3 linked regions of the Elephas maximus indicus genome follow. The protein of the gene in region 1 interacts with the protein of each later gene in a biochemical or structural test. Links are inferred from orthologs where the notes say so. Each region holds a gene or a part of one and is shown in the gene's direction. Other genes may lie near its edges. The genes, in order: KDR, SHC2 and HSPG2.

The links.
Region 2: the proteins of KDR (region 1) and SHC2 form a complex in vitro, tested with the Homo sapiens proteins (2 studies listed by BioGRID). The link is inferred for Elephas maximus indicus from reciprocal best matches to the Homo sapiens genes KDR and SHC2.
Region 3: the proteins of KDR (region 1) and HSPG2 form a complex in vitro, tested with the Homo sapiens proteins (2 studies listed by IntAct). The link is inferred for Elephas maximus indicus from reciprocal best matches to the Homo sapiens genes KDR and HSPG2.

The regions. Positions count from the first base shown.
Region 1 is NC_064823.1:106,202,173-106,209,766, forward strand, and holds the start of KDR (vascular endothelial growth factor receptor 2), read left to right. Parts: upstream 1-4,587; 5' UTR 4,588-4,894; coding exon 4,895-4,961; intron 4,962-7,594. UniProt on the Homo sapiens protein: Tyrosine-protein kinase that acts as a cell-surface receptor for VEGFA, VEGFC and VEGFD. Plays an essential role in the regulation of angiogenesis, vascular development, vascular permeability, and embryonic hematopoiesis.
Region 2 is NC_064821.1:236,153-243,414, reverse strand, and holds the start of SHC2 (SHC-transforming protein 2), read left to right. Parts: upstream 1-4,199; 5' UTR 4,200-4,275; coding exon 4,276-4,755; intron 4,756-7,262. UniProt on the Homo sapiens protein: Signaling adapter that couples activated growth factor receptors to signaling pathway in neurons. Involved in the signal transduction pathways of neurotrophin-activated Trk receptors in cortical neurons.
Region 3 is NC_064821.1:62,192,465-62,200,414, reverse strand, and holds the start of HSPG2 (basement membrane-specific heparan sulfate proteoglycan core protein), read left to right. Parts: upstream 1-4,859; 5' UTR 4,860-4,944; coding exon 4,945-5,010; intron 5,011-7,950. UniProt on the Homo sapiens protein: Integral component of basement membranes. Component of the glomerular basement membrane (GBM), responsible for the fixed negative electrostatic membrane charge, and which provides a barrier which is both size- and charge-selective.

The DNA.
Region 1 (7,594 bases):
TGTATCTGTAAACTTATTTCAATATCTGTATGTCAAAGAATGATGGGACATACTTTTGAACAGTTATTTATTTATTTTTAAGTTATGGTAAATGTATAGGTAACAAAATGCCATTTCAACAATCTTCACATGTACAGTTCAGTGACATTAATTACGTTCAGCATATTGTTCAGCCATCACCATGAACAGCTGATATTCTTAAAGTTGAAAGCAATTTTCAAATTAGAGGGTATGTTTGGAAGGCATAATCAGCCAGCCAATTAAAGACCTTTTAACAAGTACTGTTGAGTGATATTATCAATACCACCATGATTATAACGTATTTTACAGTTTACAGAGCACTTTCATGAGGTTGTCTCATTGGAGTCTCATAATAATCCTTGAGGGAGGGTAGGCAAGAGTTATTACTCTCACTTACCAGTGAGGAAGCCAGGGGCCTATCTAGGGAAAATAACACCTATGGCAATTGGTTTTAAATTGCTGAACCATCTCTCACAGCTGGCAATGGAAACTTCCATGGCCAACAGAAACTGCTCATTAGCGCCCCTCCTTAAGTGGCGCCCAGGGCACTGCCCAACGTGCCATATCTTAGTTGTGCCTCAGCTCGGGAATCTGATGCCTACAGTGATGGAAAGATTAACTCAGTGTCATTCTAAATCTGTGTATTAACCACAGCAAGACTCTGACAGTGGAGTGAATAGTAAAATGAACCCTTCAGGTCCATCATTCAGCTTCCACAATTATTAACCTTTTGCTTATCTTCATATTTACTTTTTAAGATTTGAAGTCTAAAATACTGGTGATGGTGATGGAACCAAATTCAGGGGTCATGAGGTGTAATTTATGTGCTTTGGTGATATGAGCAATATATATTCCGTGTGCACAACCCCAGTTCCTAGTACATAGTGATGCTCAAAAACTGTTATTGAATGATTGAGCCTTACTGCAGTTTAGAGGTAGGCAGCGTGAAGTAGACCATGCATTGTAGTATAACTAACCTTTGCAAAATACTTCTTGAGGTGTATCAGGTGCTTATGTGTAGGGTCCTATGCTTACCAGGTGCTAGGTCCTATTCTCAGTGACTTGCATGTAGTAATTCATTCAATTCTTAGAAGAACTCTGTGGAGAAGGTATATTATCATCTTTTGTGTTCTGTAGATAAGCAACCAGTAAATTGGTCAAGCCCCCATGGATAGTAAGTGGTAAGTTGACAGTCAAACACAAGCAGTGTAGGCCTACAGTTTGCGTGCTTAGCTACTGCCCTTCACTGCTCCTCTGAAGGTGTGTGTCTGAACGCCATCACTGAACACTCTTGAGACACTGTGCTAGATGGTGGCCATACCTGCACTGCCAGACTAATTCACAAAGTCACTCTTTTGCAGTGGTGCCAGATAACAGGAGAGCTTTGCACATGGAACACTTTTTTTTTTTTTTTTTTTAACAGACTCTCATTTTTCAAGAACACAAGGCCCTTCTAAGTGCTGTGTGGGAGGGAATGTGGTAGATTGATTTCATTGAGACCCTGCCAATTTCTGGTCCTGTGGCCATCAAAGATGCATCACTTCCTCCAAGACATCGAAACGGGGCTATTACCAAGGGCCTGCAGGTTCTGGTTTGCATTTGGAGGAGGAGACACTATCTTCTTACTTGAGATCTGGAAGAGGAAGTGTCCTGAATTGTAAATAAGGCTGAGAGAGAATTGTCTAAAGATGGAGATGGAGAAAAATTGCCTTCACCAAACCACATTCCACCTCCCTCTTCCTCATCCAACTCTGCCAGAGCCCATCTGTTTTACTTCTTAAATTTGCTAGCAGGAGGAGAGGTGTTTCTTTAAGGACCTTCCCCAGTAAAAAAAACACTCCTCAACAACACTTCCTAGATAAATATCTGTAGAGTAGGACATCATGCCACCGTTAAAAAGAATGAAATGGCGCTCTGAGGGTTGAGTGATGTAGAGTGCTCACCAATGTATATATTAAAGTGAAAAAAGCCAAGATTCAAACAACAGTTCTATCAAGGCCGCCATTTGTGAAAAAGGAAGATGATTACTCTGCGTATAAGGGCATAGAACTTGCTTGGAAAAAGGGAACTGGTAAAAATTCTTGCCTCTGTTGAAGAAAGGTTTTTTTGTTTTTTTTTTTAAAGGTCTTTTTACTATAAACTTTTTCGTATTTTTGGAAAAAAATTTACCCATATGCATTTATTATACTTAAAAAAGAGTTAAAATACTTCATTTATCAAGTTGGAAAAGTAGAAGAGTAAAGAAATGTATTTTTTAAATAGCAGAAGAAAAGCAACACCTGATGATGATTGTGTATTTCCAGAGGAGGGTTTTGGACTAAATGTAGGGTTAAATTCTTCCTCTTCATCCTGCTGAAGGGATAGTTCTTTCAGCTGCTATGAAAACACGCTTGCATGCACCTTGGAAGTAAAAGACAGAGGGATTTGAGAGACTCCTATTTAATGAAGTTAGGGGACATGTGATGATTTAATGAAGTTAAGGGACAATTGATGTCACTCCCTGGATGTAAAGAGAAATAAAGAGAAAACAAGAAGAAAGAAATATGGTCATGAAAAAATGCTAGTTTCTCTACAAACAGCACCACAAGTAGTCTACATTCATGGAAAGAGTGGTGAGGTCTGGTCACTGGGTGTTCTGGGTGCCTAGGATATGGGAGTTTTTGCTTCATTGCTCAGCCTCAGGTTGTCTGGGCAGGAACTTCAGACTCTGAAAAGGGGCCTGGCTAACAGTGGTATCACTAGGGTTGGTGTTACTCAGTGTGGTAACTCATGGTGCTGCCCCACCCCGTGGACCTCCTCCAGTACCAGACCATACAGAATTCTTAGTAATGTTATGGGGCCTTGATGGCACAGTGGTTAAGCTTTGGCTGCAAATCAAAAGGTGGCAGTTTGAATCCACCAGCTGCTCACTGGAAATTGTGTGGGGCAGTTCTACTAATACTATTCATAAATCGTAATTCCCATATATCACTGAATGTAATAGCAATAGTAGTGATATAAACAAGTAGGAAAATTAAAATGACACCTTTAACACCTTTAAGTTACAGTTTTCTATCATACGCACAGCCTAAATGTATTTACATTTCACTTGGTTCAAGTGAAAATTCAGTAAGGAAACAATAGAATTCGAAGTAAAAATATTTAAGAACTACATCAAAATCACGTTCATTTTAACATTAAACTTTACGTGAGATACATTAGTGGATTAGGTTTGGAAAGCGAGGCAGAGCGAGCCAAGAATTGACCGAGCGGTTTCTGCTCTTATGTTATATGTCTTATGTCCTCTCTGCTCCTCACCATCCAGGTTGGTACTGGCGACGTTTTTGGTGTTTTTAAGTCTGATTAGTTTTCCCCACTTGGGTTTTAAAAAATTTTAAATAAAACTCTGCTGTCTTGGAGGGTTTCTACCGGCTGGAAGGCCCCAGGACATGCGCCCCCTCCCCTGCCATGAGGGAGAGAGGGAAGCAGTTCTCCAAGATGAACTGCTCAGTCCAGGGCTCCAGAGGACCGGGCTTTTTGGAATGTAGTTGGGAGTCTTACAGCTCTTGGGCTGTGCCCGGGTTTTCCGAGCTCCTCTAAAAAAAAAAAAACAAACTTTTTTTATAGAGGAGGTGTATGTGTGCGCGCGACTGTGTGCGTGTTCCGCGGCGCCGCTCGGCGCGGGGGAGGCCCACGCGCCCACGGCCGGCTCCGGGGGAGGTTGGTGCCACCGCCTCTGACAGTGTCACCTGGTGCGGTCCGCAACCCCTGCACCCCTTTAGTGAAGCCACTGCTGGCTAAGAGTCCAAGTAGAGTCAGGCTGGGTGCTCCTTGTCCAGTAACACCGGACACAAAAGGCCTTTCTTGAGAGTCTCATGCCAGGGACGGAGGCCACTCACGCAGCGGGTACGCAAGAGCCCGGGATACCTTCAGCTCCCTGAAGCCCTGCTTTAAGCTTTTGGCTAGGAGCTAGGCAGAAGTCGCAAATTTGAAAGCCTTCTGGGGCTAAGCAGATAAGTTCAAAATATTTGAAGCCGCGTGAACTTTCGGGAACTGGGGAACTGTATTTTCAGACTGAGACATTCAGAGTCAGATTTTCAAAGTACAACTGTGCTGGCCAAACAAAACACTCGTAGTGTCTACGTTCACTGCGGGTTTGCGACCCCGCAGACGTCTCGGCTCAGTATCTGCTTCTCCCTGGTTGCTCCTCCAACCTAATCCCGCATACAGTTTAGACGCGGCGCACCCCTTGCTGCATTTCCGGTGATATTTCTCGTATCTCGGGGACCGGCAGCCGACTGAACCTTGGAATGGTTCAGAGCCCTTTACCGGCTACATTTTATTTCCACCAGAAACTAAGTTGTTGCGCCCGGAGCGCTGCACCCGGGCCGACTCGGGGCCGGGCGCATCCCGGGCAGGTGTAGAGGTGAGGAGATGTAGTGCATGTTGTAGGAGCGGGATCCAGGCCCCGGAGTCCCGGGAACACCCAGTTCGGCCGGGTGAGGGGCGGGACCTGTGGCCCAGGGGAGTCCCGCCCGCAGCCCCGCCTCACCTCGCCCCGCCTCAGCGCTCTAGAGTGTCTGCCTGGTTCCTACTCGGCAGTGAGTCCGGGGACCCCGGGCGAGAGGAGGTGTGCTGACGCTGCCTTTCCTCTGCCACGGGCATCATTTGCTCCCTGTAGAAGGCCCAGAGCCGGTCCCTCAGCCGAGATCTCCTCTCAGACAAGCGCCCGCAGACGCCTCTCCAGCAACTGCCGGGCCGGGGCACCCTCGCCCTGCGCGCTCCGGGTTGCTGCGCTGAGGCACGCGTCTCGCCTTCACGCCTTCTTCGCCAGGCAAGCCCTCCGGGAACGCGCGTCTGAGTTTTGGGCACTGCGCCCGGCGTGAAGTGCAGGATGGAAAGCAAGGCGCTCCTAGCCATCGCTCTGTGGCTGTGCATGGAGAGCCGGGCTGCCTCCGGGGGTAAGAAGCCCACTCCTTGGGAGGGAGGCGGACAGGTTGGGTGCGCACGGAGAGATCCAGATTGTGGAGGACATGGCGGCCCGATATAACTTCGAATCTTAGAGCTGGAGAGTTGGAAAGGACTTGACGCTTAGTGCTGTTTAATTAACCATTGGGGAAATTGAGGCTCGGAGACTGACCTCCCAGCGAGTCGGTGGTCTACTGAGTTCTAACACGATGCCTTTTCTACGGCTCTGGTCTCTGACAGGCGCCTCGACTGGAGAGTGTCCTGCGAGCCAGCCGACGCACGCTCGGGCTCCCGGAGGCGGGGATAGGAAGGCGCCCAGGGCAGGCGTGCAGGAGGTGCCCCGCAGGCGGGGAACAGGCGGTGAAAAGTCTTAAGGGCTGGGCGCACTATTTTAGTCCGGGTGCAGACAGGCAGCTCCTCCGCTGGGAATGAAGCCCTGCAAGGAGCGTAAGCCTGGTGTCCCAGGGCGTCCAGTGCACTCAGCTCTACTTCCGCTAGAGTGGAGCGGGGATCCCGGCCAGCGTTCCCTCTTGGTCTGAACTGACAAGCACAACCACAAAGAGATGGCATCCAGTGAGAGGGAACCTTTTTTTTTTCCCCCCTTTCCTTGGTGCAGGGCGCCTCTTTCCTCGCAGAGAAAAAACAGAGAAGGTAGGGGAAATTGGGACTTGGCCCTGGGGCTGTGACAGGTTTCCCGAATGTCTCTAAGTGACAGTCACCTTTCAAGGTAAAACAGTGTTAACGTTTTTTAAAGCGGCTTTGTCCTTGCGGTAAGCGCATAGTCAGAAGTTCGCCCTGAAGACCAGGTCTGCCGGACTTCATACCCAGTTTTAGCGCCACTTGCGACTTCCCTTGCCACCTAACATTGCGGTCTCCTTTAAGATTAGGAACACAAACGCTCTTAGTGCCATAACTTTTTTTTTTTTTTTTTTAACGTTTCCCAGATAACATTCCTTCTCCGTAGCCATAATTTACTGATTTCCAGATTACGTGAGGTTGGAGGGGGAAAAAAGTCAAATGTTTAGGAAAATTATTTTTTATTATTTTGAAAGAAAAGAATCACGTGTCTTAAGACTTTTCTACTCACTTACAGTAGCAAGATCATCTGTCTAGAGTTATTGAATTTTCTGAATAAAGACTTGGTTCACCAGGCCCTGCTCCACCCTGGACACTCATTCGACCCTGACAAGGGCCCTCTCTCTCCCTTCATGGGCAGAGAATGAATGTCTGGAACATGTGGTTGTTCTGTATCCCACAAAGAAGTGAGTCGCTTTTAAGCCTGGGGTGTTTCATAGCGCAGCGGTAGTAATGGTAATAGAGTTGCCCTGAATAATGGTGAGGTTGCCCTTTTGGAGTATGTGGCTTAATTAATTGGATTGAGCTATAATTGGTGCCATCCAATTCTAGAGACAGAGACACTGTTGTTTTTCCTTCCTGTGTTTGAGCTGGAAGGGGTAATAGTGCACAAACTAATTAATATTGGTTATGGAACTTGAACATAGCAGGCCTTGTTATGGAGTAGAAGGATATGTATCTTTTATAGTCATTTCTTCAGAACTTTCTGAAGAGTAGAGCTCAAATTTGCCAATAAAAATGTATGAAGCTTAACGGAGGAAAAAAAAATTGAGCCTTGGCCGAAAGATGATGAATTTGAAGTTATCATTATTGATAGCTTGTTGAATAGATTTTTGTCGTAGATTTGTCTGTAGAACAGTATTGTGTTGTCTTGGCTTCCTATGAATGGGGAACACATCTTTTTTATGTTTAATTTTTACATAGCAAAGTGTGTCTAGAGTGTGGAATGATTTGTGGCAATAATTTGGAGAGATCTTAAAGAATCTTTTATTTTGGTGATGGTGGAAGCATAGCTTATTTTAAGCCTAGTCATTTACTACCATTTTGCTCTCACGTGAATGTGCCCAAATAATGACTTATTTCTCATTTGGATCATTGTGTGAGTTGTAGTAAGTTTCTGCTTTCAACGTGTTTTTCAACCTGCTGTTTCCCAGTGAAGTCTGAAATCTATGCTCACACAAGTGAATTTTCATTCTCCTTTTCTTAGGCAAAGTGCGACTCCATTATTGAAAGGCATTTCTTTTACTTTTCCACATTTTGCTTTATTGCTTGCATTCTTTGGGGGCAGTTAATTTCTTCATATTGAAACATGGTGTGCTAGCTAATTAACTGAATATGACAAACCAGACCAATAGCTGTCCAAGAGTGGCCCTTAGACCATCTATGTCAGAGTCACCTGAAATCCTTGCTAAAATGCATTTTCACAGGCCTAAGGATAGCCTGACACATCCTAGGATTTAAGAACCACTGCCTCAAACACAGCATGTCAGTACCAGTGACAGTTTCTGAGGCTTATTGATGTAATTAATTTCCATTTTTTTTTGACTGTGTTATTGATGAGTAACTATGTGGGTGTGTGAGAACATGGGTGATCAGTTTGTTCATTTTGCCTGTAGTTATTCACGTTGGAGTCCACAGATTGGATGCACTGGATATTTGCTTATACTCTCTTTACTCATACTCTCTCTTACTTGCCCATATTTGCTCATACTCTTTATTTCCCCAGCAAGATCAATGCTAGTTTAGGTCCAGAGAGTCATTTGTTCTTAGT
Region 2 (7,262 bases), on another chromosome or scaffold:
GTCTGTCCATCCGTCCGTCCATCCATCCATCCATGCATCCATCCATGCATCCATGCATCCATCCATCCATCCATCCATCCATCCATCCATCCATCCATCCATCCATCCATCCATCCATCCATCCATCCATCCATCCATCCATCCATCCATCCATCCATCCATCCATCATCCCATCTGTTATTCCACCCACCCATTGATCCATCAGTCCGTCCATCCGTCCGTCCATCCATCCATCCATCATCCAGCCATCATCCAGCCATCCATCATCACATCCGCCATTCCACCCACCCATTGATCCATCAGTCCGTCCATCCATCCGTCCATCTGTCCATCCATCCATCCATCCATCATCCAGCCATCCATCATCCCATCTGTTATTCCACCCACCCATTGATCCATCAGTCCGTCCATCCGTCCGTCCGTCCGTCCGTCCATCCAACCATCTTTCCTTCCACCCACCAACTGATCCACCTCTCCGTCCGTGGACTCAATCCATCCATCCATTCGCTGCTCTCTCAGCCACCCACTCACCATCCATCTACTCATGTGTCCACACAAGCAAACATGTGTTCAGCCAACTGTGAGGAGCTGAGGTTGGTTAACTATGTCCTTGCTTTTTATGAGATTCCAGCCTGGCGGTGGACCTAGACCCAGACGAGGACCACCGTGTCTCTCCGTGGTCATGTCTGGAGGGAGGGCGGACCAGGGCAGGGGGACCCAGGAGGGGGTGCCTGGAGGGAGGGCATCAAGGTGGCGGAGATGGGGGGAATTTGAGCCTTGCAGAGGCTGGGGGACCTGAAGGAGAATGGACCATGTGTCTGGAGGTCCGGGAGGGAGGGAAGAGATAGGGGCCTCTGCAGTGCCCACTCTGCAGTCCTCCCACAGGTCTGGAGGTGACGCCAGGCCCAGGCGCCTACAGCCCGGAGAAGGTGCCCCCCGTGCGCCAGCGGACGCCACCGGCTTTCACGCTGGGCCCCCGCCTCTGCCCGCAGCCACTGGACACCTCGGCCCCTGCCCCCAATGCCTACACCCTGCCCTCCCTCTGGGGCTCCCAGGTCTTCATTAAGCCTAGCAGCCCCAGCTACACAGTGGTGGGCCGCACACCCCCTATCCGCCCCTCACAGGACCCGGCGGAGATACCAGGCCCGGGGCAGTATGACATCCCCGACCCCAATGCCTACCAGCACCGCCGGCCAGCCTTCACCATGCTGGGGCGGCCTCGCGCACCACGCCTGCCTGACACAACGCCAGGCCCTGGCACCCACAGCCCAGAGCAGGTCACAGTGCACAAGGCCAGGGCCCCAGCCTTCACCATGGGCATCCGTCACTCCAAGCGGGCTGTCACCGTGGCTGGGAACACCACACCCTGACAGCCCATGGCTGCAGGGTGCTTGCTACTGCATCCAGACAAGCCTTGGTTTCCCCCGCAGTAAAGTGGGGTATGGGTGGGTCCTGGCTTTGTCTGGAGAAGGCTCAGAGAAGCCACAGGAGGGGCCCAGGGAAAGCCGCCTCTGCCCCCCCCTTTTCTGAATTGTCCGAGGCCCTTCTAGGTCACCATCCTCTGTCAGTCCCTGGGGGCTGTGACCCCGAGGCCCTGCATGGGTTGCAGGGTGAGCCTCCTTCCACCGCCCCAGTTTCTTCTCCTGGTCACACCAGGCCAGGCCAGGTGGGGAAAGGGACACCCAGCCCTCCCCAGCTGCTGGCGGGGAATGAGTTTCCTGTGTCCTAGAACTCTGCGTCTGCCCCCTAGGGCCTGGATCCCTGATGCAGCTCCGGTTTCCACCAAACTTGGGCTCTTCTCTCAGCCTCCTGGAAGCAAGGTGCCTGTCCTGGGTTAAGCCCCAATCAGGCTGGAAGCAGCCCCGATGCCCCTGTCCACCCACCATCTAGAGTTGCCTGTCAATAAATCGCTGCTTGGCACCAATAATGGTCAGCATCACACATGTACATCCCCATGTCATAGGGAGGAGACCTGGACACTGTCCCCCAGAGCCAGACCCTGACTGTCTAGCCCTGGGGGGTCCGGGTGGGACTAGGGGAGGGACCTGGGGCTGGGGGGCCAGAGGTGGAGCCAGGGCTTTGAGTGGGAAAGCCAGGCAGGCTTCCTGGAAGAAGGGGCATTGAAGCTGCGTTTTGAAGGATGTGTAGGAGCTCAATGTATCCTGATAGCTGCCAGATATGTACCAGATATTGATAACAAAAACAAACCTGTGGCTATTGAGTTGATTCCGACTCATAGTGACCTAAAGGGCAGAGTAAAACTACCCCATAGAGTTTCCAAGGAGCGATTGGTGGATTCGAACTGCCAACCTTTTGGTTAGCAGCCATAGCTCTTAACGACCACACCACCAGGGTTTCCAGATGTTGATCAAGGTCATCTAAATTTCATAGCAACTTGGGAGGCAGGTGATGTTTACAGAGAGAAATGAAGCTTTAGAGAGACGGGACATTTGTCCAAGGGCACTCTGGGAGGAGAACAACCTGGGACTCGACCCCCCCCCCCATATCACTCTGATGGCAAGGTTTGAACCCTGGCCATCAGGCTCCATTCCTGCCACTCTTTCCTAGGGAGAGGAAGGAAATACATGGGTTGGTGGCATGTCACCAAACCCTCTGTGAGCCCCCCACCCATGGGCCTGGAGGAGGCAGCTCCAAGGGCAGTGTTGCAGGTGGGACCCCAAGGGAGCATGGTGGGTGTCAGCCTTTTCCTTACCCCTTCCCCCCCCCCAAGCTGGGGGCTGGCACGCCTGAACACACAATCCTTTGCTAGACACACACACTGGTCCCCCCACTCAGACACTGACACACAGGGACCCCCTCCACACAGACACTGACACACACACGGACCCCCTCCACACATGCATGGCCTCATTCACACCTGTCCACACCTGTCCACACTGTACACACACGTCCCCACACACCGCAACCCTCCTGCGATCCACTTTTACATAGCCCCCCAATACTGACACGAAGCACACACGTTAGATGTGGGGCCCGGACACAGACATCCACGCCCAGGACCCCTGGCCGTCAGAAAGAGCAGACGCCCTCCACCCACCGGCCTTCGGCCCCTGGTTGAACACAGACGCCAGAGTCTGGGGCACCAGCCGCGACGCCCTCAGCCGCCAATCGGGGCAGCGCGCGCCTCCCGGTCCCACCGGCCCCCTATGGCCCCCCGGTGTCCTCCCCACGCCTCCCCCTCCCCTTGCTGTCTTCTCCTACACCCCTCACCGCCTCCCCCCTCCCTTCGCCCCCACTGCCTCCCCCTGCCCTCCGGCGCTGCCTCCTCCTCCCCTGGGTCCGAGGGCGGTGCCGGGCTGTGATCTCATCGCTCTGATTTATCGATCTGCTCGGCTCGGCTCTCTCTCCCTCGCTCACCACCTGCCCCAGCGCCGGTCGCCTCCTTTTGTTTCCCGGCAGTCAGCCCTTATGGGGGGTGGGGCAGAAGGGGGTCCGGCGAAGATAAGGGGCCAGGAAGCTGGGTCCTGGGGTGACAGTGACACCCCCTTCCCTAGTGCAAAAAATAAGCCTGGAGGGCGGGGCGGAGAACTGAGGGTCCCTGAGGCCCGAGGGTTCCGCTGAGCTGATGCCTGACAGAGCTCCCCGGAAATGGGGCGAGCAGGGGCTGTGACCCACAGCCCGAGGCCCAGGGATGGGGCGGAGGAGGGACCCGGCCCTCTGAGTGCTCCTCCTTGACCCAGCAGGCCCAAGCCCGGCCCTCCGGGTGTGAGCCTCAGCTGCGTGACCTTGGGCGCGCCCCTTCCTCTCTCTAGGACTCAGTTTCCCCCCTAGGAAACGAAGCAGGGAGGGATTTCTAGGCACCTTTCGGCCTGAACAGTGGTCAGGGAGGGGGCTGACGTTAGACTACTCGGCTCTCTCTTCCCCGGACTGCACCTCCGCTCCTCGCCAGGTCCCAGTTTTCCCATAGGTCAACAGGGGAAGAATGGGGTCTTCCAGCCCTGCCCTTTTAGGAACGTGGGCGGCGGGGGGTGCTAGGGCTACCCCACTTCCTTTCCTTGGTATCCCTTGGACCCTCCTTTCCCCGGCTGCCGAATGCGGGCCAACGCCCGAGCCCTAGGCGGGCCTCAGTTTCCCCGGGCGCTGCGGAGCAGAGGGCCGGGGTCCCAGGGGTGCAGCCCCCCGCGGCTGCGCGCTGGGCCGGGCGGATGACATCACCGGGCCGGGGGCGGGGAGGGACTGGCGGCAGCGGGCGGGAGCCGGCGGCCTCCTTGGCCAGGCTCAACGCCCGGTCGGGCTCGCTCAGCGGCCGCGGCCATGACGCAGGGTCCGGGCGGGCGCGCGCCCCCGGCGCCCCCCGCGCCCCCCGAGCCCGAGGCGCCCACCACCTTCTGCGCGCTGCTGCCGCGTATGCCCCAGTGGAAGTTTGCTGCCCCCGGTGGCTTCCTGGGTCGCGGGCCCCCGGCGCCGCGGGCGGCGGTGGCAGCGGGGGGCGCGGGGGACGCGGGGGACGCGGAACCGCAGCCGGAGGCGGCGGGCTCGGCGGGCGTTCCGGCGCTGGCGGCCGCGGTCCTGGGCGCCTGCGAGCCGCGTTGTGCCGCGCAGTGTCCCCTGCCAGCACTGAGCCGCTGTCGGGCGGCGGGGGCGCGGGGGTCGCGGGGCGCGCAGGGAGCGGCGGGCCCCCCGGATTCTGCGGCGGAATGGATCCGCAAGGGCAGCTTCATCCACAAGCCGGCGCACGGCTGGCTGCACCCGGATGCCCGGGTCCTGGGGCCCGGGGTCTCCTACATCGTGCGGGTGAGTGCGCAGACCAGGACCCGCGGTCGCGGCCTCCCCGGGCCTCGGGTACTGGGGCTACCCCACTTCCTTTCATTGGCATCCCTCGGACCCCAAGAACCCGACTCCCCGCTCCATCCTCCCTCCTCTCCCCATCACTCGGACCCCCATCTCCAGCCGGGGAGACGCTGGGGCCCAGGTTCCCACGGCGTCACGTGGGGAGGGGCGGGGAGAGGGCAGGTGGGAGGGGGACGCGCATGCGCAGGGTAGCACCCCTATTTCGGCAGGGAGGGAAAGTCCAGGAGTGAGGACCCCAGGGTGCACTGCTGTGTCCCCGGGAGAGGAACGCCCAGACCGCCCCTAAAGGCTCCAAGGCAGATGATCGGATCGTTGAGACCGTGGCCTGGGATGGGGGTGTGGACTCGTGGGAGAAGGGGTATCTGGAAAGGGGCCGATGCCCAGCCAGACCGCCGGGGGAGCTGAGACTTGAGAGACACCGGCCTTTGTTCATTATCCCAGTGTTACTGGGAACCTTTTCACGCAGACAGAAAAGCCGAATCAGTGGATCCCCGTGTCCTCCACCTGGGACTCTTCGAGTTTTGCGCTCTCCGCTCAGTATATCGACTCCTGTACATAATAGCCGTTGATAAACCATTAGAAAGCGAGCTGCCCACTAGTGCCGCTTGCCGTGGAGACCCCACGTGTGTCAGAGAACTGTGCTTCATAGGGTTTTCAGTGACTAAGGTTTTGGAAGCGGATCGACAGGAATTCCTCCTGAGGGTGCTGTTGGTGGACTTGAACTGCTGACTTTCAGTTGGCAGCTATGGCCTTCACTGTTTGCAGCACCCAGGGACTCCGCCCACGGTGGCACACCTGTAAACACCTTCGTGTCTCCCACACACCCACAGCCCCAGATCACATCTAGAAAAATGATTAGTGATTCCAGAATGGCTTGGAACCTGAGGTTGTGTTCACATCTCCCCGGGCTAGCTCTCTGGGGCCAGGACCAACCATGTTTACACTTGGTTGTTATGTCTCTTTGCTCTCTCTATAGAACAGTCCCTGAACACGGCTTACACCCTCCCATGACCTTGACTTTTTGGGTGTCCAGGATCCTTGCAACCTTTTCCTGTAAAGAGCCAAAGAGCCAATATTTTCAGCTATGCAGGCCAGGAGGTCTCTGTCCTGAGACCTCAGCCCTACTTTTGGTGAAAGCTGTTGTGGACAGTGTGCAATGAAAGGGCACAGCCACAGCCCCATAAGACTTTATTAGCAAAAAAAGGCAGCAAGAGCTGTAGTTTGCCGACCAGGGGTCCAGACCAGCACTGTCCAAACGAACTTTCTGCACTGATTAAATGTTCTGTATTTGCGCGCTCTGATCTGGTCATCCTCACCAGCCATGCATGGCCATCCAGCACTTGAAATGTGGCTAATATGACTGAGGAATGGAATTAACTTTTTTTTCTTTTTAATAGACTTTTTTTTTTAAATTGTGATATATATATATCACTGTCACTGAACTACATATATTCCGTCATGGAATAGATTATTTCTGAGAGCAGTTTTAAAAAATTTTTTGTTGTGCTTTAAGTGAAAGTTTACAAATCTAGTCAGGCTCTCACAGAAAAATTTTTATACACCTTGCTATATATGCCTAATTGCTCTCCCCCTAATGAGACAGCACACTCCTTCCCTCCACTCTCTCTTTTCATGTCCATCCGGCCAGCTTCTGACCCCCTCTGCCCTCTCATCTCCGCTTCAGACAGGAGATGCCAACATAGTCTCACATGTCTACTTGAGCCAAGAAGCTCACTGTTCACCAGTATCATTTTCTATCCCGTAGTCTAGTCCAGTCCCTGTCTGAAGAGCTGGCTTTGGGAATGGTTCCTGTCCTGGGCTAACAGAAGGTCTGGGGACCATGACCACCGGGGTCCTTCTAGTCTCAGTCGGACCATTAAGCCTGGTCTCTTTAGGAGAATTTGGGGTCTGCATCCCACAGCTCTCCTGCCGAGAGCAGTTTTAGGTTACAGAAAAAAATTCCGCAGAAAATACAGAATTCCCATATGCCCCTCCCCATTTTCTACTATTTCTCTTAAGGCCATCTTACATTCCTGTAATACATTGTTACAAATGAGGAGCCAATAATACAGTATTATTAACTAAACTCGCAGTTTCCATGAGGGTTCCCTCTTGGTGTTGTGCAGTGCTATGGGTTTTGGCAGATACATGTCCTAAGTCACCCACGGCAGTAATAGACAGAATAGTTTCACTGCCCTAAAAATGCCCTGTGCTCCATGCACTCATCCCTCCCCCTCCCTCTGACCCCCTAGCAACCACTAATCTTTTCATTGTCTCTATGGTTTTGCCTTTTCCAGAAGGAATTTTTAATTTTATTTAATTTCAGTTAAAATTTACATTTACCTAAATGCCCATCAACAGATGAATGGATGATGAAAACGTGCTACATACAGACCATGAAATACTGCCCAGCGAGTAGAAGGAAGGAAGTCTTCATACATGTTACAATA
Region 3 (7,950 bases), on another chromosome or scaffold:
GATGTAGTCGCTGGTTCATGTGGCCCTTTCTGTCTCTTGGGCTCGTAATAGTTTGCAGCAGATTTTGCCCAATGCAACACGCCGTTTGATTTCTTGACTTCTGCTTAAAAAAAAAAAAGCGTGGAGTTAATTGTGGATCCAAGTAAAGTGAAATCCTTGACAACTCCAACCTTTTCTCAGTTCATCATGGTGTTGCTAATTGATCCAGCTGTGAGGATTTTTGTTTTCTTTATGTTGAGGTGTAATCCATACAGAAGGCTGTGGTCTTTGACCTTCATCAGTAAGTGCTTTAAGTCCTCTTCACTTTCAGCAAGGAAGGTTGTGTCATCTGCATAACGCAGGTTGTTAATGAGTCTTCCTCCATTCCTGATGCTGTGTTCTTCTTCATATAGTCCAGCTTCTCGGATTATTTGCTCACCATACAGATTGAATAAGTATGGTGAAAGGATACAACCTTGATGTACACCTTTCCTGACTTTAAACCATGCAGTATTCCCTTGTTCTGTTCAAATGACTGCCTCCTGGTGTATGTACAGGTTCCTCATGTGCACAGTTAAGTGTTCTGGAATTCTCATTCTTCTCAAAGTTATCCATAAATACAGAAAATACAGTAAAACCTGTGAAAGCCAGAATCTGTTTAAGAGGGAAACCTGTCAGGTAGGGAAAACTCAAATATTTTCCACTAAAACAAGCGATAGAAAAGTGGTAAGGCTGCAAGCGGGAAAAGGCAGAAAACTTTCGAGAACCAGAAAAACAGGGCAGTACCGTTGAGTTCCAGCTCTCACAAGTCTCGCTGTACAAGCCAGGAGAGGGACATTACATTTAAGCCTTATGCCATGCTTGAACCAGCTCATTCTTCCATTCAAGTAAAAATTATTTGAGTGTCAACTTTGTGCCAGGCACTGTGCTCATCACGGGGGACATAGTTGAGAACAAGACAGAAACAAGACAGATGGACTCCCTGCCTTCATCATGCCTCATAAGATTAAATGATATTCCAAATTATTACAGTTGTCAAAATGTGAAGAGCGGGAAGCAAAGGAACTGTGGGAAAGTGTAGCAGGGGACATGACCTAGCCTGGGAGGTCAAGGAAGGTTCTCTGGAGATGGAACGCTTGAGCTGAATCCTGAAGGAGAGAAGTAGGGTGACGGGTGGGGGGCAGCGTTGGGTGGGAAGAATATTCTAGGAGAAGGAACAGCACCTGCAAAGACCATGTCGGGGAGGGACGTGGCTGGAGAGGTGTACAGGGCTGGATCTTGCCGGGTCTCGTGGGGTCCTTCCCTTTCACGGAAACTTTCAGTGCTTGCTTAGAACTGTCTCCTTCTTCCTCTTCCTCTTCTTTCCAGCCCCATCTCCTTGTTTCCTTTCCTCCATTCCAATTCCTTTTCACACCAATTTCCTGTTCCATCCAAAAACATAGATCCTCACTCTGCCAACATCTATTTTCCACACAAGCCTTGAAGCCCTTGCACTTAAAAGCACTTAGTAGGTATTTAATTTCATTATTGAATGAATGCAGGAGCACCAGCTGCTAGGCCATACAGAGCCTTTGTGCATATTAACAAAAGGCACCCCCTGTGGGCAGATGTAGCATTGCATCTGCCAGGGTGCTTTGCAGCCCCTACTTGGCCACTTGGCTGTGTACCCCTAGCTCAGTGAACAACCTGCTCAATCGTCCACCGCAACCCTGAATGGACAAATGAATAAACAAAGGAACATAAGTAAGATGAGTGAGCAGAAACTCTGAGGCAGAGAAAAGATTCAGAGTGGGAACAGAAGCCAGGAAGAGCTGGGTCCTCTCAGTTTTGGAGGGACGGACAGATGAACCACAAATCCCTGCTGCTGGTTCCAGAAGTTCCCCAGCTCCTGTTTCTCAGGTTGGTGGGCCATCCCTGCCTACCCACTCATGCAGCCCCTCGTTACTCAAAGAACCTTGTGTGAGACTTGAGTGGCTTCTCTTTGAAAGAGGGTGAGGAGCACCCTGAGCTGTGAGTACATACAGTACAATTACGGAAAGCCCAGGAGCTCTGCCTCTGTGCCTCTTCCATGCCATATGAGGAGATAGCTAAGGCCTAGACAAAGCAACTTGAGAGCGTGACTAAAGATATCAGGGACTGCAAAATAAAACAGACCCAGCCAAATCTCTTAGGAGGGAGGGAGAGGATGCAGAATAAATAGGTGGATGACCAATCCTCAGGGGTGGGGTAGGGTGGAGTTGCTCTGTAAGACTTTTCTAGACAGGGCATATTTTCCTGCCCTCCGCGTCAGCCCAGCTCCTTCCAGTCCCCAGTCAGCCTACACTCTCTTTCCTCAAACTCTTTTAGGAAGCAGACTTATAGCTCTGGCTTAGCCTTGACCAAACATCTACAAAGGGTTGCTTGTTCTCCTTTTCCCCTTTGCTCATGAGCAAATCATCCAAGAAGCCAAAGCTCTAGGACTTAAAGGGCCCGAGGTGGGGAACAAACCCAAGACAGCTCACGAAACGTGATTTGTCATGGATGCTGAGCCTCCACGGACAGGCAAAGCCTTGGAAAAATCCTGCCACTGGGGTTGGCCACCTGCCAAGCCTGAAGTCAGTGGAGCTTTGAAGCCTTCCTCATCAGACAGGGAGTTCCCAAGTGCAAAGCTGTCACCTTCTATCAGACTACAGACCCTTGGCATGGGGACTGCATTTCACCATCAGATTGGGAACAACACTGGTGACATACTGGTTAAGTGCTACGGCTGCTAACCAAGAGGTCGGCAGTTCGAATCCACCAGGCCTCCTTGGAAACTCTTTGGGGCAGTTCTACTCTGTCCCATAGGGTTGCTATGAGTTGGAATCAACTCAACAGCACTGGGTTTGGTTTTTGGTTCATATATATAAATTCATCTTAATCCTCATAACAACACCATGAAGGAGGTCTTAACTTTATCCTCATTTTCTAGATGAAGAAACTGAGACTTTGAGAAGTTGAATAATTTACTCAAGATTAAGCAGGTAGTAGGTGATAAAGCTGAGATTCTCTATCAGACTGAGAACTCCATGAGAACAGAGACTATGTCCTTTTTCCCCATCTGAGAGCAGAGGCTGGACGTCCTTCCCTCCCCTGATCACCCCTATCTCCCTGTCTGAAGCAGAGATAGGCTTTATTCATTGCTGCTGTGCCTGAGGTCTGGGTTGGGGCCAGGGAGTTGACTGAACCAGTGCAGATGTAGTTATTGCCCCTCACAGCTCTGAGTTGGACCCCCAACAGTGTGCCCCACAGGGCAGAGAAGAACCCAGAGTTTTGGAGATGGGACATCTGGCTGGGACAGGAGTCAGATGCAAGCATTTTTTCAATGTCCCAGGTGCCCTGGTGGAAGGCCCCAGAATGTCTGGGAGCCCACAGGACCCTATCGCAGAGAACACGCCTTCCGGAGCCAGGCCTGGTGCCGCCCTGTTAGTGCGGGCATTTGTTTCTATCCACAGCTCACCTCACTCCTGGCTGCAGACCCAGTCCTGAGTCTCTGGAACCTAGCAACTCATGGAAGAAACAATGGAAAATTCAGTTTTTATTCTCCTCCCTTTATCATTACTCAAAGGTTTTCCTCAAAGCTTCAAGAAACATACACACAACAGTTTTTTTCTCCACCTATTAGCCTGGGGCTGCCCTGGAAATTTTCAGGCAGAAAAGACCTGAGAGTAGGCAGTGTTAAGGCCCGCGGGCATGGTCTGTGCTGCCTGTGAGCTTGGGTCAGAGGTGGATCATCCGGGGCTGTGATTTAGTACTCAAGCATCCGTGACTGGGGCTTTGGCAGGGTCTGTCCGTGTCCGGGCCTTGGGTGTGTATGTTGGTGTATCTCTGGCTCTGGGGTGTTATGTGAGTTAGAATTGGTCTATGAGTGGTTTACGTGGATGGTGGTGCGGGTAGTGGGCATTCAGTGAGCTCAGTGAGTATTGAGTGCCCCTGTAAGGCACTGTAATTTGTGTAAGAAAATGTAAAAACTACAGACTGATATGGACGTGAGAAACTACATGGGCCTATGTGGGAACTGTGAGCCTCTGTGAGGAATTCGTGTGTGAAAATTTGTCTTTATTCTTCCTGCCTTGTTGGGATTGACCTATGTGAGTCTGTGTGTAAAAACGTGAATCGAATGTGAATGGCTGAACCTGTATAGGTGAGGGCTTGAGTCTGTGAAAGTTGTAAAGAGATAGTGTCACGTGAACCTGTGAGGAAAGTTTTTAGTATATCAAAGGTGAGTGCAACAGTGTGAAAGTTTGTCTGTGGAGTGTTCATGGGTCTCGTACGAGTGCGCTAATGCGTGAAAGTTGTGGGTGTGAACGTGTTGTCAAAGTCTGCGTGGGTGTGTATGAAACTGTCCAGGTGAAAGCTGCTCGTGGGTGTCGGGTGTGCGTGATGTGTGCGAAAGTTGCGTGTGTGTGCTCGTGTGTCTGCGTGCGCCTGCGTGCGTTCGCAGTTCTTGAAGTGGCCTGTGTGTGGAATCACGTCTTGTGGAGTGTGAAAGGGTGTGAGAGCGGGTTTTAGTTGTCTGAAAGTTGGTGGGGCCCTGTCGCATGTGCAGGTGAGCATGCGGGAGGGGGTGCGAGTGGAAGGAGGGAGCGGTCCCGCGCTCAGGGCTCTGGCGCCCCTCGAGCCTCAGGGCCCCCGTCCCACCCGAAACTCCAGGCCGGGTTTGGCGGAGAGCCGGATTGGGCTGCGGCCCGCGGGGCGGGGGCTGGGGGCCCAGACAAAGGCCCAGTTGGCTGCGCTGCCGGCTTGGACGAGCTAAGCCGGCGGCCCGGGGGCGGTCCGGGGCGGGGCCTAGGGGCCCGGGGGCGGGGCGGGCGGCAGCGTGGGCGGGGCCGGGCGGAGAGGGGCGGGAGAGGTAGGGAGCGGGCCGGGCCGGGCCGCGCCGCGCTGTCCTGAGGACTCAGCAGGCCGGCGAGCGCGGAGGAGATAGCGAGCTGAGCGGGCCGGGCCATGGGGCGGCGGGCGGCGGGCGCTCTGCTGCTGGCGCTGCTGCTGCTGCATGGACAGCTGCTAGCGGTGAGTGCTCGGAGCGGAGGGGTTGGGGGGCGCCACGGGGCCAGCTCGCCGAGCTCACCAAGTTGGCGGGGGCGCCCGAGGCTGCGTGGCCGGGACTCCAACTCAGGAAGGCGGCGCCCGCCAGGGATCCCCGGCCGGCCCAGGCTGGCGCCCTCCTGTGCAGTGGGGACTGCCCCGGAGGGTGCTCAGGGAACCCTGCGTGGGGCTGGGGGCAAGACCGACCCGAGTGGGAGCTTGTGGGTCCTCGGGCCACGTTGCCGAGTCTCCGAGTTGCGCTGGGCATGGTGGCCTGGCCTGCCATTTCTGGGGACCAGGAGAAGAAAGTTCGAGCAGGGTGGGAACTTGGCAGGACCAGGGCACCCCCTTCTGCGCCAACTTGGCAGAAGGGGCACTCAGTGGTGATAGGGACCCTATCAAGCCTCACTTGACCTTTACCTTGCCATCTCTCCCGTTGGGGAGATTGTACCAGCGCAGGGGCAATTAAAGAACCGTTGGGGACAGATCTGAGGCTTGTGTTCTGACCCTGGAGTCAGAACAGCTCAGGAGTTGAATCCCTGCAGTGCCCTGAGTAGCTGTGTGACCTGGGGAAGCTAATCAACCTGTCTGAGGCCGGCTCCCTGTGTACAGGGAACTGGAAATGCATAGCCTCAAAGTGCATAGCCTCAGGGTGGCTGGGAGGATTGGATGGAATGTAAGTGAAAGTGCCCGGTGTGGGCCTGGTGTGCAGTGGACCCCCGGTGGATCTGAGTTTCCTCAGCTTTCCTTTTCCTAGGTCCGCAAGGTGCAGAGTGGGGGAGCCTTGCTCAGAGCTTGGATGGGCCCATTCAAGGAAGAGAGAATCCTGGGCTCAGGAATCCCACAGCCTAGAAGGTGCTTGGCCAGGAGAGGCCCCAGGAGGACCTCAGTGAACTTGAGGAGGGTGGGGCACGGTCAGTGGGCAGGGAGCTAGTGGCAGATGTGGGTGGGAGCACATCTGGGGAGCTGGGCTTGCCCAGCACAGTGAGCCATAGAGCTGTCCCAAACCCCTTTGAGGTGGTCACGGTCGGTCCCTGCCTCCACCCTGCTGTCCTTGGAGCCTGCAGAGGGACTTTTCTACTGGGCCAGTGTTTACCCAGTGACTGAATCGGTGGCCACCAGTGACTCCCTTTCTTGCCTTGATGGCTTCATTTCACCTCTGCCCTCCTGAGTCACTCGTTAACCCCCCACCCCAGGCCTGACCCCTCACCCCACTTGCCCCATCCACCTAGTACCTCCTCCACTCCCAATCTGGGCAGTCGCCTTAATGCCCTGTCTCAGCCTTTCACCTGGACACATCCAGTTGTTCCCATCTGAACATGCCACTCCCAACACTGATTTTTTGTTTCCCCAAGGCCCCACAGAACCTTCAGTCCCCCAGCACATAGGATGTCTTTAACAGCCCTCCATTCTTCCTTTCCTGACCTTCCCCCTGCTCTGCCCCCTAGTGAGGGGCTCCTGGCTACATAGCACAGGCTTTACAGTGGCAGGAATGGGGAGGGTGTGGGGGCTGTTTGCTCTATATGTGAGGAATTTCCACGTAGGGGGTTCTGATTCCCGAACTGCAGCCAACCGTCTCATTCACTTGTTCATTCAACAAGTCTTCATTGAGCGACATTCCATGGCGGTGACTGGGAGTACAGCTGTTCATTTATTCGATAGCTATTTGCCAAGCACCTACTGTGCACCAGACACCAGGCTGGGGTTACACTGGTGAGTAAGAACAGGCCCTGTCTATGCTTTCCCAGAACTCACAGGCTCGTGGGCCATAGTTGGGAGCTCTGATCACAGACACCTCTGATCCTGTGGGGCTGTAGACCTCCTCAGCAACCACATTGACCGATGTCTTCACTCTTTCTCCCGCTCCAAGCTGATGGTGGTAGACTGCAAAGAGCTCATAGCCTAACAGCTCTGCCATTTACCAGCTGTGTGACCAGGGACAAGTTCTTCTTTCTGAGCTTCAGTTTCCTCACCTGTAAAATGGGAGCAAGAAGTTTGTTGTGAGTCATAAGTGAGATTAGGTTCCTAGGTCAGTGCCCCAGTAAGCCTTGAGCTCCTCCTTGCCTGCTGCCTTTTATCTCTTCTGCCTTCCAGTTCATGTCTGCCAGCCAGTAGTGGGTTGGGTGTGGGTAGGACACAAGCAGAGGGTAAGATGGTCCTTAGGGAGCTCAGGACCTCACCAGGAACAGGAGACAGGACTGCAGGAAACAGTTGTCTGTGATTAAGTGAGGGAGTAAGTTCAGAGGAGGTGGGGAGCCTGCTGGGGGAAGGGGCTGAGCCTGGGTGACTAAAGGCCTGCCTTGGCCTGCTGACCCTTTTCTTCCTGCTGGGGCCTTAGCCCTTCCTTTCTTGGGGCCAACGCTGCCAGGAGAGAGAACTTTTGAGGAGGCCACAGTGATTACGGTATTTCCCAGGGCTGAGGAGGGAAGTCACTGAGATACCTGTTTCCTGCCTCAGCTGGGGAGACTGCAGGCCGGGAACTGGAGGAGCCATTCCTTCCTGGCTGCTCCTCAGTGGGTTGCAGAGTTACCTCAGCCCTTCCATTGACATAGCTGTCCCCTGACCCTGCCCCCTTTCTCCAGACCCACTGGGAAGGAGTTGAGTGTACTCCGGGGATTCCCAGTCTGGGGAGGGAGGCCGAGGCTGGAAGGGGCAGAGGTGGAGCCTCCTTCTCCTGTGTAGGGGAGTTGTGGCCCCCGCCTGGCTTGGACCCCGCCTGGCTTGGCCTGGGCCTGTTCTCAGGCTGAGCACAGGCAAGTCAGCATCTGTGGGTCTGAGGCCCGGCCCAGGAGAGGGACGGAAGGAGGGCAGCAGAAGGTGACTGATTGGGTTCAGGACTTGGAAGTCATGTGAGCAGAGTGGCGGGGTGGGAAGATGATGACAGACAGTATGGATAGTTTACGTTTCTTCAGTGCCCACTGTGTG